4 linked regions of the Drosophila melanogaster genome follow. The main gene of each other region encodes a partner of the protein of the gene in region 2 in a complex. Each region holds a gene or a part of one and is shown on either strand. Other genes may lie near its edges. The genes, in order: E(bx), Caf1-55, Nurf-38 and mip120.

Region 1 (6,398 bases), on a different chromosome or scaffold from region 2:
AGCCCCATTGCCCGTGGACCCGGTATTCTTCTCCTTTTTGCTTCCAGACTTGATGTTTGAGACCCAGGGTATACTTTATGTAGTTAAATGCTAAGCGATTACGTTCTTCCTCATCATCCCGCTCGCGCTTCTCTCGCTTTTCTAGTTTTTTTCGCTCCTCTCGTTCGGCACTAGTTATGCGTTGCAAAGTTGTGTGTCCGAGTTGCTCATGCCAGACGTTGGCAAAAACAACGCTCTTAAGGGACGCTTGAAAAAGTAACAATACTACCGCAAATTCAGAAGGTCGACGGGCGTTCATCACCGCAGCATTCCAAATTTTTTTGTTAACTACCCAGTTAATATTTAAAAAGGAAGCTGCTATATTGGATTCGAAGTTTATCAATGTTTGCCTTAGAGTTGTTATCATATTGTCAGTAGTTCCCATGGTTATACCGATCCATTTAAAGTCAGAAGCCGTCGTTAACGAGAACTTATGGGACAGATGGCGTCGCTTATCTCGCTCCTCGTTTCGTTGCGGCTTGTTGAGTGCAATTGGATTTGTTGAATACTGGTTGACATAGTTCTTAAATCCTTGCTCCATGCCAAGTTTAAAATGCAAAGTACCATTAGTCAGCTGATTGGATTTTTGACGCGTGACCATTTTACATTCTTCTTGTTTTTTTGTTCCCTCTATAGATTGACTCTCAGATTTAGCATCACCATCTTTTTCATCCTCGTCAAGCACCTCTTTCTCCAAAAGTTCATTTTTAGCCTCTTGTTCGATTTCGATAACACTACGCTTCGTGTGTTTGTGTTCATTGGTTAAGGTCTCAGTCAGTTTCATTTGGCGCTCGATTTCGTCTCTCCTTTCTGTAATCTGGCTATGCAGACGAGTTTCCAGTTCTTCGGCGTCCAGTCGACTGAGCAGCAATTTTAACTTACTTGTCGTACTGTAATACCAGCATGTAAAGTTCTCCTGATCCTCGATAAAAATGCGACGTGCAATAAACCAATATTTGCGCCCATGACGATCAACACCGAGGCTATCATGCCGGATTAGCACGCCTTGTTTTTCTTGTGGCAACACGCAGTCCACTACGCCACTTACCTTATGCGAGCGGCAAAGCCCGCACTGCCAATCCTCAGTAGGTACGTCATTCATTGGCGGGTCTACACATTCCAAATGATAGACAGCAGGGCACGTCTCGCAACATAATAAATCACCGAGCCGATGGCACACTCGGCAATGGTCATCATAATGAATAGGTCCCTCCTGCAGCATTACATCTCGTATAGAATTGGAAGTTAAAAATTGATCTGACAGAAACTGGAGCACTTCAAGCCGGTTGTCAATGCCCGTGTAAGGGTATTCAGTGTGGCTTAAAATGTGAAACACGTTGCGATCAAATGTCTTATCGCTTTCTACATAGCTTCGCAAAACTTCCGGCCACGTTATAGAGTCAATCAGGTAAAGACTTATATTAACCGTATCTTTTTGATCCAGCGGGCCAAAATGTGTACCCTGCGCGTCCTCTTCTCGAAGAATCGCTTTAAGCAGCATTATGTGTACCTCCGTCAATAATGCACTTTGCTCCTCACAAGCCAGCGCTGCACACAAGTCTTCAAATCGGAATGGTGAAAGGCGGACCATGTGGCGAAATCGTCGCAGTACTTCATAGATACTTAGCGCGCGCAAAACGTGTGTATTAGCAATGAAAAGATCCTCCGACGAGTCCGGCAAATCAAGCGCTGCATACTGACGACCTTCCTGCAGCCACACAGGTTCTGGGCTAGGAGGACGTGGCGGCCGACCAACTCCATTTTGGTTAAAGCTGCACACGGAAAACTCTGATTCGCTCTCGTTGGCTACTTCTAGGCTCTCGTCGTCGCTGGGAGTAAGCAGCATATCATCCTCATTATCGGATTTATCTTCTTCGGAATCCCCAAAATCTGACCCGTAGTGATACTCCGACTCGTACCCTGAAAAGAGGAACAGTAGCTCTTAGAACCAATATGATTTCACCAACACCTAAGTGCATAAAACCTGACATACTGTCACTGCTATTGTGGACCCAATTTCTACTGAATTGTATTTAAGTAATTGTTATTAAACTCATGCCAACTAGACTGAAAGATTTTTTGTCGTAAGATTTCAAAAATAATCGTTGGTATTAGAGCAGATAGACCTATCGAAACTGACTCGCCCGGTAGTGGTTGTCACGAAAATATTAAATTTGATCTTTTATGAAGCGGAAGCTCTTTAACGCACAGGAAAACTCGTTTGAAGTATGAGTACCATTCAAAACGATCAAAGTTTTCTCCACTGCAATCAATATATGGCACATTATGTTCCCTATTAATCTTCGAACTAGTCAGAGCGAAACTGTAAGTCTTGACTCCCAAGTTAGAGTTTAGGTGCCCCTTTAACCCACCTTTCCTTCCAGAGTAGCTACTGGTGTTCGGTTGCACGGCGGATTTGCGGCCTCGTCCCCTCTTAGCGGCGCTCCCGCGACTGCGATTGGTGTGGTTGTTGTGGCTGCTCCTGCTGCCCTCGTCGCTCTGTGGAGAAATGCCCCTGGATGCCGACGGAGTGCTGGGCTGCGACTTTCCCTCGCTGAGATACTTCGGCTTCTTGAGAAGCTGGTAATTGAAGCGTCCTGATGCGCGTTCGTTGGGCGTCTTTGGCGGACGTCCACGTTTACGGCTGCCGCGACCGCTCATCTTGTTTGTTTTCGCCTTGCGTATTTATCTGGCTGTGTGCAGGGGTGCGTGGGGGTACTCTCCTCAGATATTGTTCCAAGTTAATGCTGCGAGGCTGCACATTAGATCTGAAACGAAAATTAACCCATTAGTACACGGTGCCACAGGAACGCACACCGCATCTCACTCGCACTCAGCTAGCTATGTATTTACGGGGCACATTCAAACACACATTTACTCAACAGCGTATGTGGGGGAAAAATCGATCAGATCGTCAAAAGTTTGTCGTTGGGTGTTCACTTTCTTTGTATTGCGCAAATTTGGAGTTGAAAAAAACCCGCCAAAAGAGCTTGTTTAGTTCAGAATAACGGTTCCGATTAAATACATTAAGTACATGTATTCAAAACACATTCTTGGCTTCTAGTGTTGGACGGCAAACGCACTGGACAGCACCACCAAGTTCGATTGTATGTGTGCGAGTGCGATGAAATGAAGCCAACGCACATTGTCCGCCATTTAAGCAACCGTGAAAATTTTTGCGTCTGTTTAAATGTCACTCTTCTTTCACAATTAACACATGGATTAACTGCGCAAATTACCCAGCATGTTGCGGAATAATTGCACAGGATTTAACACGATATATTCTAATATTTTTAACTATCTTCAGCACACTGCGAAAGAGACTTTTACCTAACATTACAGTTTTGAACATAGCTAAAGACGGTGTACAGTCGGCCAATCACAGCGACTCTTCTATTGCGTGAAGTCAGAAGCGTCCTCTTGCGGTCGGCTTGGAGAACTAATTCTTTATGGTTGCACAAACGATATAGGCAGGGTTGCTTTTGGCATTTACGCTGAACCGCACTGACAGATGTATTTTTATTTTTATCGACGTGTTGAGCGGGCGTTTAAAGAAAACCCGTTAACTTGTAATCAAAATAAACTTACCTTTGCTCACTATCTTAAAAATTAAAACGGTATTTTTGATGCGGTAAAAAAAATGTATTTTTTTGTAAATTTATTTTAGTGTATTACATTCTACCCAATTTCGCATTTTAAATCCTGGTGATCTCATTTCGTAAATTGCCGACCACGAAAAATCCATTAAAAATGTTATCGATAATAAGTTGCCGTTACGATTTTTTGTTTACTGGGAAAGGTTTTTATATTATTATTACTTAAATTTTTTAAAAAATTATTCTAAAAATACTAAATTAAAGTATTTTAATTGTGTTTGTTGAGAAATGTGTTATTGTTAAAGAAATTAGGGTAAACAATTTGCTTTGAAGCCCTGAAAACATCGTTATCTTATCGCCTGCACAAAGTGATTCCATTGCAGAATTAAAACTTCTTTTTCGCTAGTATTACTTTATTAATCAAGCTCAGTGGTTGCATTTTAAATAGCAAGCATAAATTATTTGACATGTACGTAAACAATAATTGCCATAAATAGTTTATTTTTAAAAATACAATAATTGAATAAAATATGATCTAATCAAATAATCAGTGCGCAAAAATTGACATTTAACGCGGTTTTGTATAAGTTGATGAGTGTAATTTTCCGAGTATTGATCAATTCTAAGGAATGTGCTACCACATTCGTCTGACGTCATGTGTTATATTATGATAACGCACTCTACTGGTATCTTACACAGATAAGATAGCCCATATCTTACCAGTTCCCACACCACCTAACTAATGTCAAAATTTGGTTTGTTTACATACTTTCTGTGTAAACGAACTCGGCAATTTTGTTTTATTCATTTTATGCTATATATTTTTTGTAGATTGGTTGAAAAGGCAATATGAATCTAGGCCACTGGAATTTTCTCCTAGCTCTAATCAGTTTACAAACGTTTTTTAACGCCTCCGCACAGATAAGCACTGTAAATAACAGTTCGAAGGGATCAAACAACTCAAAGTAAGAAATACTCAAAATATTTGTTTTCGAAAAATACTAATTTTGGAATCTTTGCATTTTCTATAATATATTTTGCTTTGCTTAGTATTTTCCATGAAGACACATTCAATAGCACTTCGATTGACGTTCTGGACGCCTCAATACATTCAACACTGGTTGTACCTCAAACATATTCGACAGAAGCTGCAACAATATCAGGTGCTAGGTTCGCAACCTCTGTTCCTGTTCAAAGTCCTGTAGACAACCCGTTAGATCCGGCGGACTGTTCTCAACGGGAAAAGTACAGAAAGCAACCAGTTGCAACACCATCGTCTCGTTTAAGAAAATGCTGCCCACATGGAGAAAACTTAAATATATATCGGGAAAATCAAAGCGATTCGATGTGCGACAACGGGCTCTTAAGCTTCGAACCGACTATAATAAGTGCAGTTCTGTTCGATAACTGCATTGAAGATTTGGAGGTTGAGACTACGCTCGACTACGACATTGGAAATCCGTGCAACAGGTATGAAAGCGAATGTTAAATTGAATCAAAGTACAAATTCTTCTGCAAAATTAGTTCTCTTTTGTACGACGACAAAGACGATGTTTTCTTTGTTCTGCAAGACGGTTCGTTATTAATCATCGACAAATTTGGCAACGAATCATACACTGTGAAGGAACATTATTGCTTGGATATTGATAAGTCAGGACACTTGTTTGCCTTTACATGTGTAACCCAAGTGGAAGAACAAATTGCCTTCGCAAAAGTAAGTCAATGTAACATTATTTTCTATTTACCAACGGATGAATATTATTTCAGGTCGTTTTTGTTGCCGTTCTTATGCTTATATCTATGCCCTGCCTGCTATTAGTTAGTTATTTGCACATGACACTTCGTTTATTGCGTAACTTGCATGGTCTCTCGCTAAGTTTGATGTCTCTGTGCTTGGCGTCTGGATACTTTGTGCACTCCGTTGTGCACATCTATGGGATCCCGAACCAAGGGTTCATTGGCTACGTCATACAGTTTTGTATTTTAAGTTACTTCTTCTGGTACTTGTGCATATGCTTCAATGTTCTTTTGAATGTGTGGTACAAGTTGCCTTGCTGCATTCAATGCTCAAAGAGTTGGGCCACCTTTAATTTTGCGTGTTACGCTGTTTTTGCCTTTTCCGGACCGGCCACAATAGTTGCACTAACTGTTCAAAAAGGACTCCCAGGAATGCCGTCTTACTTTCTGCAAGGCAAGTTATTGACTTTAATAGTTAAAAGTATAAGTAGTAACATATGTATTATTTAAAGGCCTAACTGAATCCATCCGAGATTCCCAACGTTACTTTATTCCTCCAGTGTCTACTATACTTTTTCTAAGTTTTTTGGTAAGCACTTCTTTTCGTACCTGTTTTTTGTTTTATGCAATTGTACATTCTTAGCTTAACATCATATCGTTCTTCGGATTTCAACGTATAAGCGGCTACGCCAAGGCTGAAAAAAACATTCAGGAGCGAAAATGCTTGTTTGACCAACAAAAATATGAAGATGTTAAAAAAGAGTGAGTGCAGAATTATTGCAGTCCAAACACATGCATTTATTTTAATTTTTGTCGTTAGCGCTAAATGTGTCAGCTTACTTGGAATAATAATGGTCGTTAGCTGGCTGCTCGAAATAATAACATTTTACTCGGGATCGAATTCAAATTACCTGATACTCTGTGACATGGTGAATGGACTCCAGGGAGTTTGGGTACTGCTCATTTTTCTAGTCGTGCGCAGGCGTCGCACAATAATATTAAGGTGGTGGTATGATCGTGGTTCCC
Region 2 (5,583 bases):
GTCGTCGAAAGTTATTCTATAACATATATCCCCTGCGATACCCTCTAAAGCAACATTTCAAGTATACCAAAACGCGTTAAGCTATTTTCGTTTCCAAATTTCCGCACGTGTTCGCGCCGCTCAAAACCCCATTTAGTTGGCATTTATAAATTTGTGATCTTCGTCGTGCGATTTGAATTCTTTTCTCTGAAAGCAGGCCAATAGGACTTGCAAACAAAGATAGCATGAAAGACACCGAGGTCAACGGTTCGAGCCCGTAAAAGCTTTTATTTCCTGGAGATGATTACTTATTAATCCCATCCCAATGTAGACAACACCACAGAGGAGGAGCCCGTGAAGGAGGCACCTGAGGTGCCGGCCAATTCCAGCTCCGACGAAGATGAGTACGATGACATAGATGACGATGATGAGCCAATGGACGAAGGCGATGAGCTAACCACTTGTCTGTTTTGCACCGAAACATCTGCAAACATCTCGGTGGCCATTGACCATCTTGACGCCCGGCATAAAGTGAATCTGTCCCAGCTTCAGCGTAAATTCGAAATGGACCAGTATTCCTTTATCAAACTGATAAACTACATAAGAGCCAAAAAGATCAGTGCCGAGCAGTTATTGTCTGCGGAACATCCGCTTTGGCAGGATGAGAAGTACCTCCAGCCCGGGGAGTATGAGCCCTGGCTCTGCTATGACTACGAAGTCCTTAAAACAGACGGCGCTCCGACGCAGCCCTCGGTTCTGGAGCTACAACAGCGGATTGCTGAGCAGTCGCAATTGCTGCAGCAGGCCAACGAGGACATGGAACGCATGCGCAACGACTACAAGGCGCTGCTGCAAAAGGTACATGCTGACGGCGAGCCCAAAGGTTCCGACCAGAGCGTACCGCGTAACAACGTTTGTCTCGACAACGAATACTTCAAAAGCTACGCCCACTTTGGCATTCACCATGAAATGCTCAGCGACAAGGTGCGGACCAGCACCTATCGCGCGTCTTTGCTCCAAAACGAGGCCGTTGTTCGGGGCAAGACAGTGTTGGATGTGGGATGCGGCACGGGAATCCTATCCATCTTCGCCTCCAAAGCGGGTGCAGCTCGCGTTGTCGGCATAGATAACTCGGACATTGTGTACACCGCCATGGATATCATCAGGAAGAACAAGGTTGAGAATGTTGAACTGATCAAGGGACGGCTGGAGGACACAGATCTCCCAGAGACTAAATACGACATTATAATATCCGAATGGATGGGCTATTTTCTTTTGTACGAATCAATGCTGGACAGCATTATCTACGCCCGCGAGAATCACCTCAACCCCAATGGCATAATACTGCCCAGTCGCTGTACACTCAGTCTCTTGGGCTATGGAGACGACACGCTTTATGCCGATGAAGTGGAATTCTGGTCTAACGTTTACGAGGTCGACATGAGCGATCTGCGAAAGCAATCAATAGAGGAGCCACTCATGCAGGTGGTGGATGCAGAGTTCATGCTGACGGAACCCGAACAGATAGCTAACTTCGACATAATGACCGTCGATATGAACTATCCAAACTTTACTCACCAGTTTAGCTTAAAGGTCACGAAGCCGGGACGATTATCCGCCTTTGTCGGTTACTTTGAAACATTGTTTGAACTACCCTCCCCCGTCATGTTCAGCACATCACCATCTGCGACGCCCACCCATTGGAAGCAAACGGTTTTCTTCATCGAGAACCCGCAGGTTGTGAAGGAAGGAGACGTCATTTGTGGGAAAATCACGTCAAGAAGACATAAAGAGGATGTCAGAGGACTTAGTGTGGACATAGAAGTCTTTGGCAAGAAACACAAATACAATGTGGTTTAATGTGCTTCTTTTTGAATAGAATTAAATAAAATACGCTTGAAGATCTAAGTTGGTATTTAATTTCAAAAAAATTAACCTCATTTCTTGACTTTTTAATCATTTTTAATTAAAAATTCATAGATTGTACAATCTGCTGACAAATGAGAGCTTAATTAAATTTTGTTTTTAAAAATATGTAAATATATATAAATTAAAATGAGTACCCATTGCCATTTAGGCTGGATAGCTGGACACGGGGCACGGCCAAAACATTATCGGATTCAGTTGTAGTTTGGTGTGTATTATAGGAGGCGGAACAGATGCTTTAAGCGGTATTGGTTTCTAACTCGGAGGCGGGAATCTCTGGCTCCTCGTCGTTGTAAACATTCTCGGCCATCTGCCAGACCTGCATAATATTGTCCTCGGACACGGAGCAAATGATCCATGGCTCATTGGGGTTCCACGAGAAATCGCTAATCTTGGCAGTGTGACCGCCATGGATGAAGAGCAGCTCGGGTGGTCCGTCCTCAGCATCCTCCGTACTCTGCTCCTCGCCGATTTTGGACAAATCCCAGACGTGTAGGCGGCGGTCAGTGCCGGAGGAGGCGAGAATAGTCTCGTTATGCGGCGACCACTGCACTTGGAAGATCTCGTCCTTGTGCGACTCGAAGGAATGTAGTTTTAGCTTGAGGTTGCGCAGATCCCATAGAGCTACAGTCTTGTCAGCGGAGCCCGTGGCCAGAATGAACTCCGAGTAGGGATTAAAGCTCAAGCAATTGACTTCCGCTGTGTGAGCGTCCACTGTATGCGAGGGCTTCGAGGTGTTGTTGTTGCGCGTGTCCCAGATCATCAGCTTCTGGTCGTCAGCCACCGATCCGAACAGAGACTCATGTAGCAGATGCCAAGCCACGTCCTCAACAACGGCGGTGTGGCCGGTGAAGATGTTCTTGGCATCAATAACCCTATGCTCCTTGGGTGTGGCATTGATGTCCCACAAGCAGATGGTGTGATCATCAGAGGCTGACAGCAAATAGCCTGTAAGGACAATCAAGATGTTCATTAAGGGTTAAAACGTAATGCATTTTAGATGTGTCAAGCTCTTATCTGAGCTAATATATAAGTACTAGGTACAGCTACGCACTTACCATTGAGGTTGGGATTCCAAGAGAGTCCGTAGCCTTCCTTTTGATGACCGCGCAGCCGCAGGTCAGGCTGGCACTCGCCAGACGGTTCCGGCTTGCTGGGATGCTTCGTGTAGTCGAAGACCAGGACATCACTCGACGGCGTCTTGGTGGCGATTACACAGGCGTTCTGGGGCATGTAGCGGGCCCTGTTCACTTCGCCCTCGTGGTTGATCTTAATCTCGATTTCGATTTTGCCGCACACCGATCCAAAGCCTCCAAACTCGCCCTTCTCGTTATCGTAGTGCGAACCATCGAACTGGGCATCCTCGCTGGGCAACTGAACGCTGGCGATGAGTAGATGGTTCTGCTCGTCAGATGTGTGTGTGCCCAGTATAAGACGATGTACCGAGTAGTCCTTGCCATCCTGCTTGGTCACGTCCGGCAGCCACTGGGCAGTCAACGAGGGCCATTCCAGGGCATGCGTCATGACCAGATCGTACAGGAACGGCGTGTTCTTTTTCCAAATCTTATACTCCTCATTGATCACGCGCTCCTCGACGGCGTCGTCGAAGGATTCCGCTGCTAAAGGTCGATGGTTACACATTGCGGCGATTAACTTCTAACCGGACTTACCATTATCGCTGCGATCCACCATTTCGAGGCTTTTAGGCACGCAATTTCTCAGTCTGCGTCAAAAGTCGGCAGCCGAAAAAATCGGGCGCCAAAACAAAAGCCGAAGCGGCAAAACGTGTGCAGAAAAACTACGAAAGTTCGCTACGTAGTTAAAGCTCTCGCAACGAACACTTGACCGAAAGTCGTTGTGGCAGGGATTGAGTCGAATCCTGGCCGGGAACTTACACTTTAAACGGCGTAACGTCAGGGCAAAATAGAAATTGGCTAATTTCCTTCGTTTTTTTGCAAGCGCGTCGTCGATGATAGAGATGCAATGCTAAAGATTGTCGAGACGACTGCCATATTCGATTACGATAACGATAACAGAGTTATGGAGATGACACTGCGCGGTATTTTTATACTTGTTACGTTCCTGCGTCATGATTTTAGTATTTTGTGGTTTACATCGATATATTTGGGGTTTTAAAAGGTATATTTTAACGGTTGCAGTTGCGGGCACACTAAAGTGCATAAACAAAGTTTACTACTTAATTCGTTATCAGTGCGAATGATTCGAAACCAGTTTACGCGCCAATGACCGGCTTTCCATTCTTATTTGACGAGCCTAACGTGCCAGTTGCAGTTAAGTTCCCCAACCGCAACGACGGTGGGCAGCCGTGATTCATCCTCAACGCTTTTTTTCCAATTGTGTATGCAAAATGTTTTTGCACGTAACGAGCTGAACTATTGAGTTTGCTAAATAGTTTAACAAGCAATAATTTGGCCGACATGCAGGTTGATGGTTGTACCAGCAGCTCATCCGAGATCCCCCATCCCGCGAAGCGTGAAACGTGTAAGTGCACAGTGGACTTGTTGGCGGGTTGAATGAAAAACTTTCTCTCTTGGCGCGCCGACGATTTTGTTTGTCTTTTCTTTCTTTCACTTGTGTAATCCGAATTTGGACCTCAAGCTCGTTTTCTACATCGCACGTCACTTTCCAGGGATCAGTGGGAAAATGCAGTCGTCATCGCATTCCAAAGATGGTCATAATGCAGCGGGGGCTTCAAAACTGCTTCAGGATCACCAGGAGCCCGAGGACTACTTGGAGCACCTAATGAAGGAGGGCAGTCAGGAGGGCGACAGCGGTGCTGATTTGGAGCTACCTTCGTGGTACGATGAGCAGCTATTCAGGCGGTAAGTTGCGTGACTAATTGTTCACTGATTGCATATTAGCCCAGTAACCACAGTAGAAATAATTGTGATAATTACAATATCCATATACACATGGGTTATTTATAAGCTTGGAGTTATGTAGCAGTTTGCTATGTGAATAATAATGCGAAAAGGCAGCATATAATACTTATCTTTATCTGTGCTCATTATTCCAATTTTGTACCTACGGGCTTACATATTAATAACAAAAGGCGACATACATTTACTTTTAACAATATATATGTATATGTACATGTATGTATATGTATATTTTAATTTAAATAATATAACTGCATTCGAATTACTTAATTGATTCTTTATTCCTTTTCCTTGCAGTGGTCAGAGCTACTTTAGCACGTATCGCTTTGTAATGAACGCCGGAATGCTGGCTGGTCTTATTGCCGTGCTGGCTATTCCATCCATTCTCCGGGTGCTGTCGTGCACACGCCAATCCTCGACAGCGTTCACCGCCTACCGTCGCTATGTGCGTACTATATTCCACACGCAAGCCTGGTATAACCACAACATCGCGGACCGTGGCAGCAGGTTCTGGACCAGCATTGCGGCCGTGAGGCGGGCCCACAGCCGCTCCAGTCATGCGTGCGCCCGCCAAGGAGCTGGACAGATCACCCAGAAGGATTTGGCGCTCACGCAGTTCGGTTTCATTGGCTTCATAACGATGGGCGCACATCGCATAAAGCTGAAAGATCAGGACTTCCTGGAGGCCACTACGCATATGTGGCGCGTTCTCGGCTATCTGCTGGGCATCAAGGATGAGTACAACATCTGCGGTAGGAACTGGGCGGAGTCAAAGCTC
Region 3 (5,635 bases), on a different chromosome or scaffold from region 2:
GAATGCGAATGCGCGACGCAGGACACCGCCAGAGAAAGAGACCGCCATACAGAAGGCGACAGAGACAGACAGACTGCAGCTGGCGATTTGCGCGCGTTTCTGGCGCGACTAAAAACGCCTGCTTACCGTTTTTGTTTTGGTACGTTATAATTTTCTTTTGTTTTTAATTAATTATTTGATTTTTGACCTTGTGCATTCTTGGCTTTTAACTAGCACTCAAGCTAAAAATTTGACCAACTATGCTTTACTTTTTGTTAAATTCCTCAATAATCCTCGAACTGTTGAGCTCGTATTTTTTGAGCAAACAAACAGAACAAGATTTTGAGAACAATAATTTTTGTGATATATTCAACCATACCTGAATATGGCTTTTGAACTTTGGCTCTTTTTTCTTCTGAGCAAGCTATACACCAAATTAAAAAAAATCAGGTTTCCTAATTCCTCCTCCTCCTTTTGTTTTTGAACACAGGCAAGAATGCTTCGGATCGCCCTTCTTCAACGCCTGCATAGAGGCTCTTCAGCTGCACGAGGAGATGGACAAGTATAACGAATGGCGCGATACCCTGGGTCGCAAGTAAAGTGCGATTCTCTGGGATTTTCTGGCACCGTCACTGGCACGAGCAGCTACTTAATTCTATGAACTATTAACTAAAACTATTATTATTGATAACTGTGGCAGAACACGGCACGAAACTATGGCAACCAGGAAACGATCGACCCGAGGAATGTGTACCACTTGAAGAAACAACTAAGCTAACATCTAGCTACAAGAGAAAGCAGAGCAAAAATGTTGAAAAAAAAATTATGAAGACAATTACTAAACTATTACACGCTACTTATCCGCACTTATATCGGAAAGTCTAAATTGGTCTATATGTTATTTCTATCATCTGTCATGAAACAGTCTCGTGGAGCTTTTAGTTGTAGTGAATTACGTAAATTATGCTTATTTCTTTTAGTTCTTCGCGCAGAAGGAAAGCAAAAAGTTATGCCAAGAATCAAATATGAGAAGAAACAAACAAAAAAAAAACAAGCAAACAAAAAAACGAACGAACAAACGAACAAGAATCAAAATGTCTGATGTATATAACTATTTTTGTCTTCTTTTAAAGATTTCTATACATATTTATAACGCCTAACTGATTTGTACATTTCTTTTATTTCGTAAGCTTAAGTTAATTTGTTACGGCAATAAATTTTACGTTCCACACCTTCCCACACATGCTCTCCTGCAATAGAACGGAAATCACATCTGAGCAACACCACACGGCATAATTCGATTCGATTCTATGTAGTATTGCAATGCCTTACAATTACATAACTTTTAATTAATTTAAACTTGTTTGGATCTAGTCGTAAAATATAAATAAAGATTGTATATTTCAAGAGGAATCGACAGCGAATTTGATTGCGGTGCAAAACTTTATTCAACGTACGATAATATTTCAGTATTAATAATTCACAAGTGCAAGCATTTTCGATTCGATTGGACTACAGATAGATCATGGATCTTGTGATGGAATCAGCCCAGGAGAACATCTCACTTGAGATGAATGAAATGCCAAGTGTCGACTGCAATTACAAAGGACGTAAATTGGTATAAAAAGGGTTTATTTCAGGATAACATTCAGTATAAAGTATATGTACAACGATTAACGAACGCAAGCAAGCCAATTACATAAATTGGGTTTCAGCAGTATTTACAGCATGGAGTAATCTCAATTTAGCTTGCTAACTGGACAATTAAAGTAGCTATTAGTAAGCGTGCAGGTTGTGTTTGTGTAACCAATTTGTTTGCAAGTTACTGGTGGTTAAAGCGTGTGTTGGAGTAGTGTGTTTTTGGTTGGGATCGGGTGAAGCAGCTATAAGTTCGATCTAATATAGTGAACCTTACCTGTATCAGACACCTCCTCGACCTGGCCGCCATCGGGGGCCTCGGCCAGTATCTTCTCGGCCTCCTCCTTGGGAATGACGTGCTCCGAGTTGCGGTTGGTGATGTTGGTGCTGCGAAACGGACGTACTTAGGATTAATTGTAAATGTATAAAATGGCATTTAACCCACGTGGAGATGGACCCGGATGCGGGGCTCTGGTGCACCAAGTTCTGCCAGAACTTGTGGGTCTCGGCAATGATGGTGTTGGCAAAGTCCGCATTCTTGGCATCGCCGTTGAAAGCAAACTGATTCTCAGGCTTGCCATCGGGGATCTTGTAGATCTGCGAAATGCAAAGGGTAAGAGAGGGAATCGTCCGAAAATCGAATTCCACCCACCTTGAACCACTCAACGGTGGCACGAAGCAGACCCGGGAAGTACTGGTCCACATCGGCGATATCATTGACTTTCGAGGCCAACGGATCGTTCACATCGATGGCGATTATCTTCCAGTCGGTTTCGCCCTCGTCAATCAAGGCAATGGTGCCCAGCACCTTGACCTTCAGCACGTCGCCGCGCTTAGCCACTCGGTAGCCAATCTCGATGACATCGATGGGATCGTTGTCACCCTTGCAGCCGGTGGAGGGCTCGATGTGGTCGGGGTTTTCCCAGGTCTGGGGCAGGGCTCCGTAGTTCCAGATGTAGCCCTTGTGCGGGAAGCAGTTGGCCACGAACCGCAGCTTACCCTTCTTGATGTCCTGCTTGATGGGATTCATAGGGGTCTTCAAGCTAATCTAAGGGTCAGACATGCAATTTTTGTATTATTCAGAAGTATGAATCTTAGGGACAGGCAGACCGACCTCCATTTTCGCGTTGGTCCAACGTGGCACCTCCACCACCATGTTGTAGATAGTTTTCTCCTCGTTGGCGTACAGTGGAATGTCGTGCATCGGCGAGATGACATTGCCGCACTTGTTTTCTGTGGAGAATGGCCAGAAATTATTATGCCTGATATATGGGCGACACCTGGACACGCGATTTGATTAATAGTGACCGGGGACCTGTCGGCTAGACAAAGGTCACTAATTTGCGTGCCAGTAAACCGAAATTCAGCCACCAGTTTCGATATCTGCTATTCGGAATATGGGCTAATAAAGGAAAGAGATAAGCCCAAAGGGGCCGAAACTCTTGGTGTTTCCGCCATTTCCGACGCAAGACAAATCGGATCGGCTGATAGTGCTGATAATGCGTCGAGTTAAATAAGCAGAGTCCGGTTTGACCTGTTGCATAACCATTCCGGTACCGATCAACTAATTCTAGGTGCATTAACTGCACCGAGTTTGGGTAACTTGCAAATGCGCAAGCAAAGGGTTAAGCCGGGTCACATTCACATTTGGCCCCCAATGCGCTACTCTACTCACTGAAATACAGGCTGTAGCTCGGCGAATTCTTAGCGCCCTTCTCAACGGTTTCGTACAGAGCCATCTCGTGTGATTTCGTGCGCTTCCGTTCTATCTGAATATATCTGCAATTGCTGGCAAGGGCCGCTGGTGACGTTGGAATCGAGCCGGACAAGCGACCAACCGCACGTGAAGCGTAAAATGAACTCCTTGTAATTTTCGCCAACATTTTCTTCAGCCCTGAGTTGAGTCTATCGATAGGGCGATAGGACCCGATTTTACAGTTAACAGTGCTGCTCAGAAAATGTATAGCTCGATTCCATTTCATCCATTCCAATGGAGAATGAACTTCATTTTTTCATACAATTAGAACTATTATTATAAATATTATTATATGAAAACTATAACATTATAATTATTATTATTAAATATAAAATACAATATTGTAATTATAATTATTATACAAATCTATTTACAGTATAAATAAGACAACTATCAAAACCTTAAAGATTATTTAGTTTTTGTCAAATCGTAAAAACTTAAACAAAATATGCTTTGAATATGTTCATACCTGCAGAAGAAGCACTTAGAAATATTTTAAAAGTTTCATATAAGTGATTGAATTTTTTATAAATTCGAAGTCAATAGGTTTTACTTGTACTGGTTACTGATCGTTGCGAAATTGTCCGAATTCTGGTCATGTTAACTTAACATTAACAAAGCTTCCAACTGGGAACTATCGGTGCTATCGGGGATCCGAGCAGTGTCATCGATAACATTGGCAATCGAGTTTTCTAAATTCTGAGTTTTCTTTTCGTCTGTCGTGTGTGCGTGTTGCCTTGCTTTCGAGTTGGCGTTGCAAAAATTCCCCTTTATTTTGCTGACGAGATATTCCAAAAGAGTAAACAAACCGGGGGATCCAAGAAACCCCAGCTTTTATCCGAAAGCAGTCGTTACACGTACATTTTCAAGTGCCCGTGGCAACAAGTAAATTCCCCCCCTCCATTCACTGCAAAATCTCTAGTGAAATGCAGAACGGAAAACCGAGATCTTCGGCCAGGCCGTCGTTCCACCGCCGTCCCAAAGACGGAGTGGCCAACACCACCACTGATAACGCTGCTGTCAAGCCGGAGGCCTTGGAGAGCTATACGGGCAACGACGACAACGCCTGCGTGGTGTGCTTCAAAAACGTGGAAATTTTCTCCATCGGCGACTGTGATCATCCCGTGTGCTACGAGTGCTCCACTCGGATGAGGGTTCTCTGCCAGCAGAACGAGTGCCCCATCTGCCGCCACGTCCTGTCCAAGGTAAGTCCTGCGCTTGTCTAGAGAACCGAATCTCTATCTAATTCTAAAACACTTGCAGGTTTTGTTCACACTGGACAAGCTGCCCTATCGCGAACTGGAGGCAAATAACCGCTCTGATTTATACAGCAAGAAGTACCGCATCGGCTTCTGCACCGCAGAGATAAGACAGCAATTCTTCAAATTGCTCGACCATCCCTGCCCGAAGTGAGTATTCTGCCCGCACTTGAGTTGCACCATTGAGGCTCACCCTTCTACGCTAAATTGCAGATGCGATGCACCTCCATACCGCACGTTCGAGGGCCTTCGCAACCATGTTCGCAGCGAGCATAAACTTCTGTACTGTGACCTATGCGTCGAGACCCTCAATATCTTCACCTTCGAACGGAGGTGCTACACTCAGGCGGAGCTGCAGCTACACAACACCAAGGGCGATCCGGACAATCGGTCGCATCGCGGTCATCCGTTGTGCGAATACTGCAATAAACGCTATGTGGACCGTGATGAGTTGTTCCGTCATTTGCGCCGCGAGCACTACTTCTGCCACTTTTGCGACGCCGATGGTTGCAATGAGTTCTACAATGACTATGCGGATCTGGCGGAACATTTCCGGGCGGAGCACTTTCTCTGCGAGGAGGGTAAGTGCGCCACCGAGCAGTTTGTCGGCGCATTCCGCAACGAAATCGAGTACAAGGCGCACGTGGCCAACGTGCACGGCAAGTCGCTCAACAAGCAGCAGGCCAAGCAGACGCGCACCTTGCAGGTGGAGATCACTTTGGGGCCTCGTGGCCGTAGTGGGCAGACGGAGCAGGGCATAACCAGCGTGAGAACCAGGTGAGTGAGCGGCCATCCAATTTGAAGAAGGCACTCTTAGAATGGTAAACCTTACAGGAATGACGAGCACAACGACTACCAGAACGATTTGCCTTCGATCACCCAGCGCCATGTGAGCATTGATGCTGGCAACGAGGAACAGTTTCCCACATTGAGAGGCGCTTCCACAGCTCCCAGCGTATCCTTGGTGAGACCGCCACCGCCCTCGATGCGCAATCTTAGTGGA
Region 4 (6,991 bases), on a different chromosome or scaffold from region 2:
CAAGTTGTTAAAGTTAAATAAAGTATATATATATATAATCATTGAATCTTGTAAAATTGTTGCCCACATTAGCACACACACAAGTTATCTGACAAAAAAAGGGAATATTTGATAGGCTTTTGGTGCCAAATGGTACGTGGAATATAAACACCATTCCATAGAATCTAAAAATATATACAGGGTCTATAAGCGTTCACAATTTTGAATAGAAGTCTTAAGTTGTATTTTAGTTTGCAATTATCTAGTGAGGAATAAAGTCGCTAAATTGGGTGTTCTACAAAATTTAGACTAGTACCCACTGATTATAACTTCAATTCTTCCCACCCAAAGTTTCGGATCTTAGCCCATAAATATTACCGACATTATTTCGTCACTTAACCAGATCGTATTGGATCGTAAGGATATTGCCGCAAGGCACTTGAATGGCTGCAAGTGTCCTTAAGCGTTGTGATCACCACGTAAAATCCTCTTTAAAACTAATGCTCCTCTTCATTTGGGCAATGAAAATCATTATTTTGAACGCATATAGTCCCAGCAATTCTAATCGAAAGTAGTGTAAAGTAAACTATAGCTCTGTAATGGTCGAAAAAGTTTAAAGAAAGCCGACAAAATGTAGTTAATCGCAGGTATACAATGAGGTTATATTGACAAACTGTATATACGAATAGCTGAAATACTTGCTGATTATCATCGTTGTTCTATTGTTGTGAAAGATGAATTACTCAACTAATATCCATAAATTCTACGCTGTGTTCGTTATGACTTTTCACGCTTTGAAGAATTGCCGAATTCAATCATGCAACACGCGTTTAACAATTAAGGTACTCTTCAATGATTGCATATACAATATTACGACAACCTAAGAAAAAGACATTGTACAGGGTATGCAAATCCAACGTACATATACGATATTTAGCAAATGGTTTTGTTCGGTTTTCATAAAGTTGTTGTGTAAGTTTATGCTTTAGCTCCCCTTCTGGGGGCCCAGCATTCAATATAAACGTGTGAATTAGACAATATAGCTTCTAACTGAATAGTTCAGCATACTCTCAATACAAATACATATATATTATGCGTAATCAAATCGTTATTGTTGCCTAACTATGTTCAAATGTTGCATAAGTGTTACGTAACTAACAATTCACAAGAAAAAAAAGCTGGTATGGGGTCAAACAAACAAACAATGCTAATGCAACTAACCAAAGCGTTTTGTGCACAGTATTCAAATATTCAAAACTATCCTTAAATCGATATACTCAACGTTTACTGTATGTATTTGCTATTTAAGATAATCGCACACACATACTCTCTCTTCGAAAAAGTTCGTATTCGAATGACCGCAAATAAAACGTATAGTTTAGCGCGAGCATATTAGTCAAAACAGTGTATGAAAAATATGTATAACAGGGCATATATATATATATATATATTAGCATTACTAACCACGTATATGTACTATAGTCCTTAAACGATTATCACATTTTTACTCAAACCTTGAAACTACATACATACACACATATGTACTCATGTCATGCCATGCCATGTTTATAGGGTGAGAACCGGGAGAAACCAGAACACAAACATACTTATATGCTATTTATACATACCAATGGTGACCAAGTAGAATATATAACTATACTTAAACAAAAAAAACTACATATATACAAAACTAAATACCTACTATCAATACAATCAACTAATATATGCATTACCTATACTGTAGTCATTCGACATGTGTTTATTTTATAGAGATATTGCTAACTAAGCTGATACCGATATTGTGAAAAACCAAACTAAATTGCGTTGAGTTTAATATACTCGCCCATCAATAAATTTGAAACAATGCAAATGCAAAATACAAATATGTAACTGAAGTTGTTGGTGAATAAACAAGCTACAAAACAACACAACGTCTCTTTTCATTTGTGTTCAATGGTCATTAAACTTTATTAGGTATCTAAATTATTTACATTCAATCCAAGGGAAAAGTTTACAACACAATTACAATGCTCGGCCAAAAATTAAAATAGCCTTATATCTGAAATTTGCTATGTATGATATATACATTTTGTGTTTAAATTATTTAAATAGGGTAAACACTTTACTTTAAGGTCAACTTTTAGAAAGCCAAAATTAGAATATGATTGAGAAAAGGTCAAGAACTCTTTGAACTTATAAACTAATTAATGTGTGACTATATTTGCATGCCTAAGAAGAAGGCTTGGACTCGTCTATCTGAGAGGTTTCTTGCTTTTCCTTGGCAAAAGCGATGATCTGTGTCAGACTTTCGCCCATTTCCTCCATAACCTCGCGCTCCATGTCCTCCACGGCCACATTCTGTTTCTCGTGCATCACAATCCGCGATATCATGCACATGATGGTCGCCTCAATGACATCGTCCGTAAAATATATATTTGCGCGATTCTCGTTCAATTGCTTGTTTTTAGCTTTGTCCTTTTTCTGACCCTCGACACCCATCAATCCGTCCAGAGAGTCCATGTCCACGTCCGGACGGTCTTCCATGTTTCGACACCCTAAATAATAAGTTGATTGATTCAGTTAGTTTGATCATAGATAAAACAGATTTATCAGTTCACTTACCAACGCATTTACATATGCTGGAGCAGGGAATCTTTGCCTCATAGCACTCACAATAGTTCTTGAGGCAGCCCGATCTTTTGCAGTTGCAACCTTTGTTATGCAGACGCATATCACCTGAATTGGGTGCCGTAATTTTGGGTCTGTTTAAAAAAAAAAAAAGTAGTTGTGATTAGCATCTTTAGAAACATAGGATAGACCTCATAAGCTTTTCCTTTCAAATAAACTTACTTAAAGGCGCTGGGGTTACGATCGAGGCAGCTGCGAATAGCACGCTCCCGCTCCACTTCGTAGTCCAGATTGTTAAAGCAATCCTTGCAGGTGCAGTCCTGACAAAACTCGCCGTTTGCAAAGCAATCGCAGTAAAGCTTTAGACACTGCGACTTGCTGCAGTTGCAGTGCTTTCGCCGCGAAGTCATGCCGCCCAATGGATCGACGGCTCCGGCTGCTGCCGCGGTTGCTGGAGGTTTTAGGACTTCAAAGAGCGGCTTGGCAGGTACATTGGCCTTCACCCCCGGAGGCAGTGTCGGCAACTTTGGCTCGACCTTGATCGGCGTCGATTGTTCGGTAGGCAGTTGCTGCTGTCTAATCCGTTGCTTGGCCTGCGCTTGAAGTTGCTGGTGCTTGGACTGCTGCTGGGGACCCATCTGCTTAAAGCGGTGCTGTTGCGGGGAAATGGGTGGCGGGCGTCGCGTCTTGTTTTCCACATATCCAGTGTATCCCCGTCGCATGGCACTCGTCGATGATTGGGGCACACCCGAGTTACAGATCATGTACTTGGCCCCATTGCTTCCAGTCGGTTGAACATAGTTGTAGATTTTCTTTGTGGAGTTGGAACTGGGACTTGTACTGCTAGACACCACACGCTGTACATTCGCTGTCCGATTAATTAGTTTCTGAACTGGCTGGGAAGCTGCCTTCTGTGATCCTTGCTGCATGGTAATAACGTAACGCGGCTTTTTGGCCTCAGGACCCGCATCGCTGCTGTCGCTAGCTTCACTGCTGACCGAGGCCGATTGCTTTAGCTGCACATTGAGATCAGTAAGACGGTGTTTGCGTGGCAACTCCTGGCTGGCACTCGGCGTGGCGCTGCTGCTCGCCGCACTGGCTGGTTTTGAAGCGTTGGAGATGGCGCCCAGCGCACGCTTTAAAGATGGAAATTGAGTTAGAATGAAATAAATTTGTACCAACACAAGTACCAACCTTTGAGACCAACGTCTGCACGGAAGGCAGCGGCACAATGCTGCCACCCATTGATCGCATTACAATCTTGTTAGTGTTGCCCATGGCAAGGTTTGCCTTCGATGCGGCTGCAGGTGAAGCTGCTGCTGCGGATGTTGTAGTAGATGTGGCAGGAACACCAGTAGCAGCCGGTGGCCGCACCACAGTGATCTTCTGAGTTTGCACTGTTTTCGGGATTGAGGCTGTTGCACTTGTTCCGGCGGCACTCTTATTGTTGTTCAGGACACGTACATATTGTATTCCTCCCTTGCCAGGCAGCTGAATAGCGTGCAATCCGCTCGAGGTGGAAGGTGTCTGTCCGCCCGTCGTGTGGGTTGTCGAACTGGTGGCACTCGCATTCGGCGACAGCTTAATGATGTTCTTGTTGGATACAAGAATCTGTTTGCCGCCACTTTGAACCAACATCTTGCCCGGTGTTGCGGATGCACTGGCAACGGAGCCCGTCGCCGTTTTTACAGGAGTTTCTGTTCTCACCACTACCTGGCCAACGGGCTTGTTGAGCACCACATTTCCCGTGGAGGGAGATAGTTTGACAGAAGTGGCGGCAGAACCTCCTGGTGTGACTGTGGTCCCAGTTCCCTGTTTGGCGTTCACCAGCAGTGAGGGACCAGCCTGATTGATCTTGATAATTTTGCCATCGGCAGTGCGCACCACCTGAATTTTGTTGGGCTGTGCCAAAGATGGGGATGTGGTTGCCGTCGTGCTGGAAGTCGACGCCTTCGCAGTGCCTCCGGCCAGCGGTTGGATGCCCTTTAAGGTTATGGCTGAGCCGGGTACCGAGGTGCTTGCTTTGGCAGGAACAGCCGCCTTGACCAGACCCGTGCTTGCCATGGTCACGCCCTTAGAAAGCACTGCCTTCTGGATACCAGAAGGCGCCACGAGGCGTCTTATTCCACCGCTTGGTGACCCTGTCACCGCAGTGCTGCTTTGTGTTCCAGGAACAGACTTCTGGACAAAGATGACTTGGCCATCTTTCGTCCTAATCTGGGTCAAGTTGCCCAAAGTCTTGGTTATGCTGCCCGGTGTGGATTTGGTCGCTATGGTCGTGCTACCGATCTTTAGCGTACTGCTGGGTATTGGTTTCAATTTGTTTAGTATCTTTACGTCTGTAACTTGCGCCTTGGCCGGAGGAGTACCTCCGGCAGTCACCATCTTAATGGCGTGCGACTTCAAAACGGTTAGTCCGGACGAGTTTAACCTCTTGTCCTCCAGTATGTGGACCACGTTCTTCTTAAACTGCGGCGTGTTCAGGGAATCGTTGGCCGGATCGGCCAGATCTTCACCGCCGATATTGTCTTCCTCTGAGTCCAGAGCTTCGATTTCCATGTGCTGGGAACTCTTCTCCGACGTTGGCTCCAAAAAGTCTTCAAAACTCAGCTCCGGCAATGGTTCCGTGTCGTCTAGGGAATCTGCGGACAAAATAAGTTATTAATTACTTTGCAAACAAACGTTTACGGTGCTTGAATCTACCGGTCAAGTAGTCTACGCGGTAGGTACTCATTTTTGCCAATTTTCAAATCAATTTCAAAATGTTCTTTATCATCAGCTGCGTTCAAGGCGGTTGCAGCAGTGTTGTAAAATGTCGTAGTCAGGTTATTATCGGCCTTGTTTGATTTTATCGGCTCCATTTCGATACCACTCTATTTCGGATGCCGTTAACATAGAGCGATAAGCAATCGATGAGTGGCGCCTAAATTAAATATTGCCCTTTATCAATGATCAATGCTTACTTACATAACTTTATATAACAAATAGTCCTTTGAAATGCCGAAATGTCAGGCAACAACAGTAATACTTAAAAGCCGTACTATTTTAAATCAATTTTAAGATCCCTACTAATATTCCAAGTTTTAAAACTTCGTTGTCCATAGGTGTTTGTTTATATTTTACTCGATTGTGATTGGAGCGCCAACAACTTATACAATATGCATAAAAATCGCTTAAGAATATGATTTTAGTTAATGACTGACGGCGTTCCGGGGATCTACTTCTTAGCCGCCACCTTCTTCTCGCGCGCCTTCTTGCCCTCCGTCAACTCGGATCGCTGCGATTCAGTCAATGGGGGCAGAGTGCTGGTGACGACACCAGTGCCCAGGGTCAGGTTTCCGTCACGCAGCGTGAAGCGTTGTCCCTGCTCCAGGACCATTGGCCGGATGAGGCGCAGAATGAGCTTGGTGTCTTCGCCGGGCATGACCATCTCCTTATCGGGAATCTGCACCTGCACGGCACAGTCCCAGGTGCGGGAGAACATCTGCAGTTGGATGAAGGACATGAAGGGCTTTGTGCGACCGCCTTCATCCTTGGACAGGATGTACACCTGGGCCTCCAGCTGATCGAGTGCCTTCACACTGCCCGGCTTGCACATGACCATGCCGCGCTTGATGTCATCTCGCTTAACGCCGCGCACCAGAGCTCCCAGCTGATCACCGGCTTGCGCCTCCTCCAGAATCTGGTGGAACATCTCCACGCCCGTCACCGTCGACTTCAGCACCTTGTTATAGCCCACGAACTCGCACTCCATGCCCTTCTTGACCACTCCGCGCTCCAGGCGACCAGTGACGACGGTGCCGCGTCCGGGAATCGAATACACATTCTCAACAGGCAGCAGGAAGGGCTTGTCCAGCTCGCGCACAGGCGTGGGGATGAAGCTATCCACCTCCTGGAGCAGTTTCAGGATCGCCTCCTTGCCGATCTCGGGACTCTTGTCCTCGAGGGCGCACAGCGCCGAGCCCTTTACCACAGGGATCTTGTCACCATCATAGCCCATCTCGGTAAGCAGCTCTCGGATCTCCATCTCCACCAGGTCGACCATCTCCTCATCGGCGGCGTCCACCTTGTTGATGAACACCACGATGTGATCAATGCCGATCTGCTTGGCTAGCAGCATATGCTCGCGAGTTTGGGGCATGGCGCCATCGGTGGCGGCCACAACGAGAATGGCGCCATCCATCTGGGCTGTGCCGGTGATCATGTTCTTAATATAATCGGCATGTCCCGGACAATCTGTGTGGCCGTAGTGACGCGTCTCCGTCTGGTACTCCACGTGGGCTACATTGATGGTAATACCACGAGCCTTCTCCTCGGGCGCATTGTCGATTTCATTGTACTTCTTGCTCTCGGCCAGCTGCTTGTCGGCCAGGACCTTGGTAAT

Evidence for each region.
Region 1: Caf1-55 (region 2) and E(bx) share a complex: the UniProt entries of both Drosophila melanogaster proteins name them as parts of the NURF complex.
Region 3: Caf1-55 (region 2) and Nurf-38 share a complex: the UniProt entries of both Drosophila melanogaster proteins name them as parts of the NURF complex.
Region 4: Caf1-55 (region 2) and mip120 share a complex: the UniProt entries of both Drosophila melanogaster proteins name them as parts of the DREAM complex.

The regions. Positions count from the first base shown.
Region 1 is NT_037436.4:243,517-249,914, forward strand, and holds the start of E(bx) (enhancer of bithorax), read right to left. Parts: upstream 3,397-6,398; 5' UTR 2,867-3,396; intron 2,808-2,866; 5' UTR 2,701-2,807; coding exon 2,412-2,700; intron 1,960-2,411; coding exon 1-1,959. Other genes in the region: mthl14 (methuselah-like 14), read left to right, coding at 4,485-4,600, 4,686-5,105, 5,160-5,349, 5,403-5,826, 5,885-5,961, 6,016-6,134, 6,193-6,398. UniProt on the Drosophila melanogaster protein: Histone-binding component of NURF (nucleosome remodeling factor), a complex which catalyzes ATP-dependent nucleosome sliding and facilitates transcription of chromatin.
Region 2 is NT_033777.3:15,223,907-15,229,489, reverse strand, and holds Caf1-55 (chromatin assembly factor 1, p55 subunit), read right to left. Parts: upstream 3,915-5,583; 5' UTR 3,598-3,914; coding exon 3,576-3,597; intron 3,525-3,575; coding exon 2,964-3,524; intron 2,854-2,963; coding exon 2,144-2,853; 3' UTR 1,926-2,143; downstream 1-1,925. Other genes in the region: Art3 (arginine methyltransferase 3), read left to right, coding at 225-246, 311-1,839; CG31344 (uncharacterized protein), read left to right, coding at 4,344-4,407, 4,556-4,748, 5,103-5,583. UniProt on the Drosophila melanogaster protein: Core histone-binding subunit that may target chromatin assembly factors, chromatin remodeling factors and histone deacetylases to their histone substrates in a manner that is regulated by nucleosomal DNA.
Region 3 is NT_033778.4:24,557,561-24,563,195, forward strand, and holds Nurf-38 (nucleosome remodeling factor - 38kD), read right to left. Parts: upstream 3,528-5,635; 5' UTR 3,501-3,527; coding exon 3,293-3,500; intron 2,851-3,292; coding exon 2,732-2,850; intron 2,666-2,731; coding exon 2,270-2,665; intron 2,215-2,269; coding exon 2,063-2,214; intron 2,005-2,062; coding exon 1,895-2,004; coding exon of another isoform or gene 1,863-1,894; exon of another isoform or gene 1,592-1,862; intron 1,573-1,591; coding exon 1,541-1,572; 3' UTR 1,407-1,540; downstream 1-1,406. Other genes in the region: CG11414 (uncharacterized protein), read left to right, coding at 4,300-4,578, 4,637-4,782, 4,846-5,409, 5,467-5,635. UniProt on the Drosophila melanogaster protein: Component of NURF (nucleosome remodeling factor), a complex which catalyzes ATP-dependent nucleosome sliding and facilitates transcription of chromatin.
Region 4 is NT_033778.4:13,508,047-13,515,037, reverse strand, and holds mip120 (Myb-interacting protein 120), read right to left. Parts: upstream 5,421-6,991; 5' UTR 5,342-5,420; coding exon 5,311-5,341; intron 5,250-5,310; coding exon 3,802-5,249; intron 3,744-3,801; coding exon 2,830-3,743; intron 2,742-2,829; coding exon 2,602-2,741; intron 2,535-2,601; coding exon 2,209-2,534; 3' UTR 1,926-2,208; downstream 1-1,925. Other genes in the region: mEFTu1 (mitochondrial translation elongation factor Tu 1), read right to left, coding at 5,825-6,991. UniProt on the Drosophila melanogaster protein: Component of the DREAM complex, a multiprotein complex that can both act as a transcription activator or repressor depending on the context. In follicle cells, the complex plays a central role in the site-specific DNA replication at the chorion loci.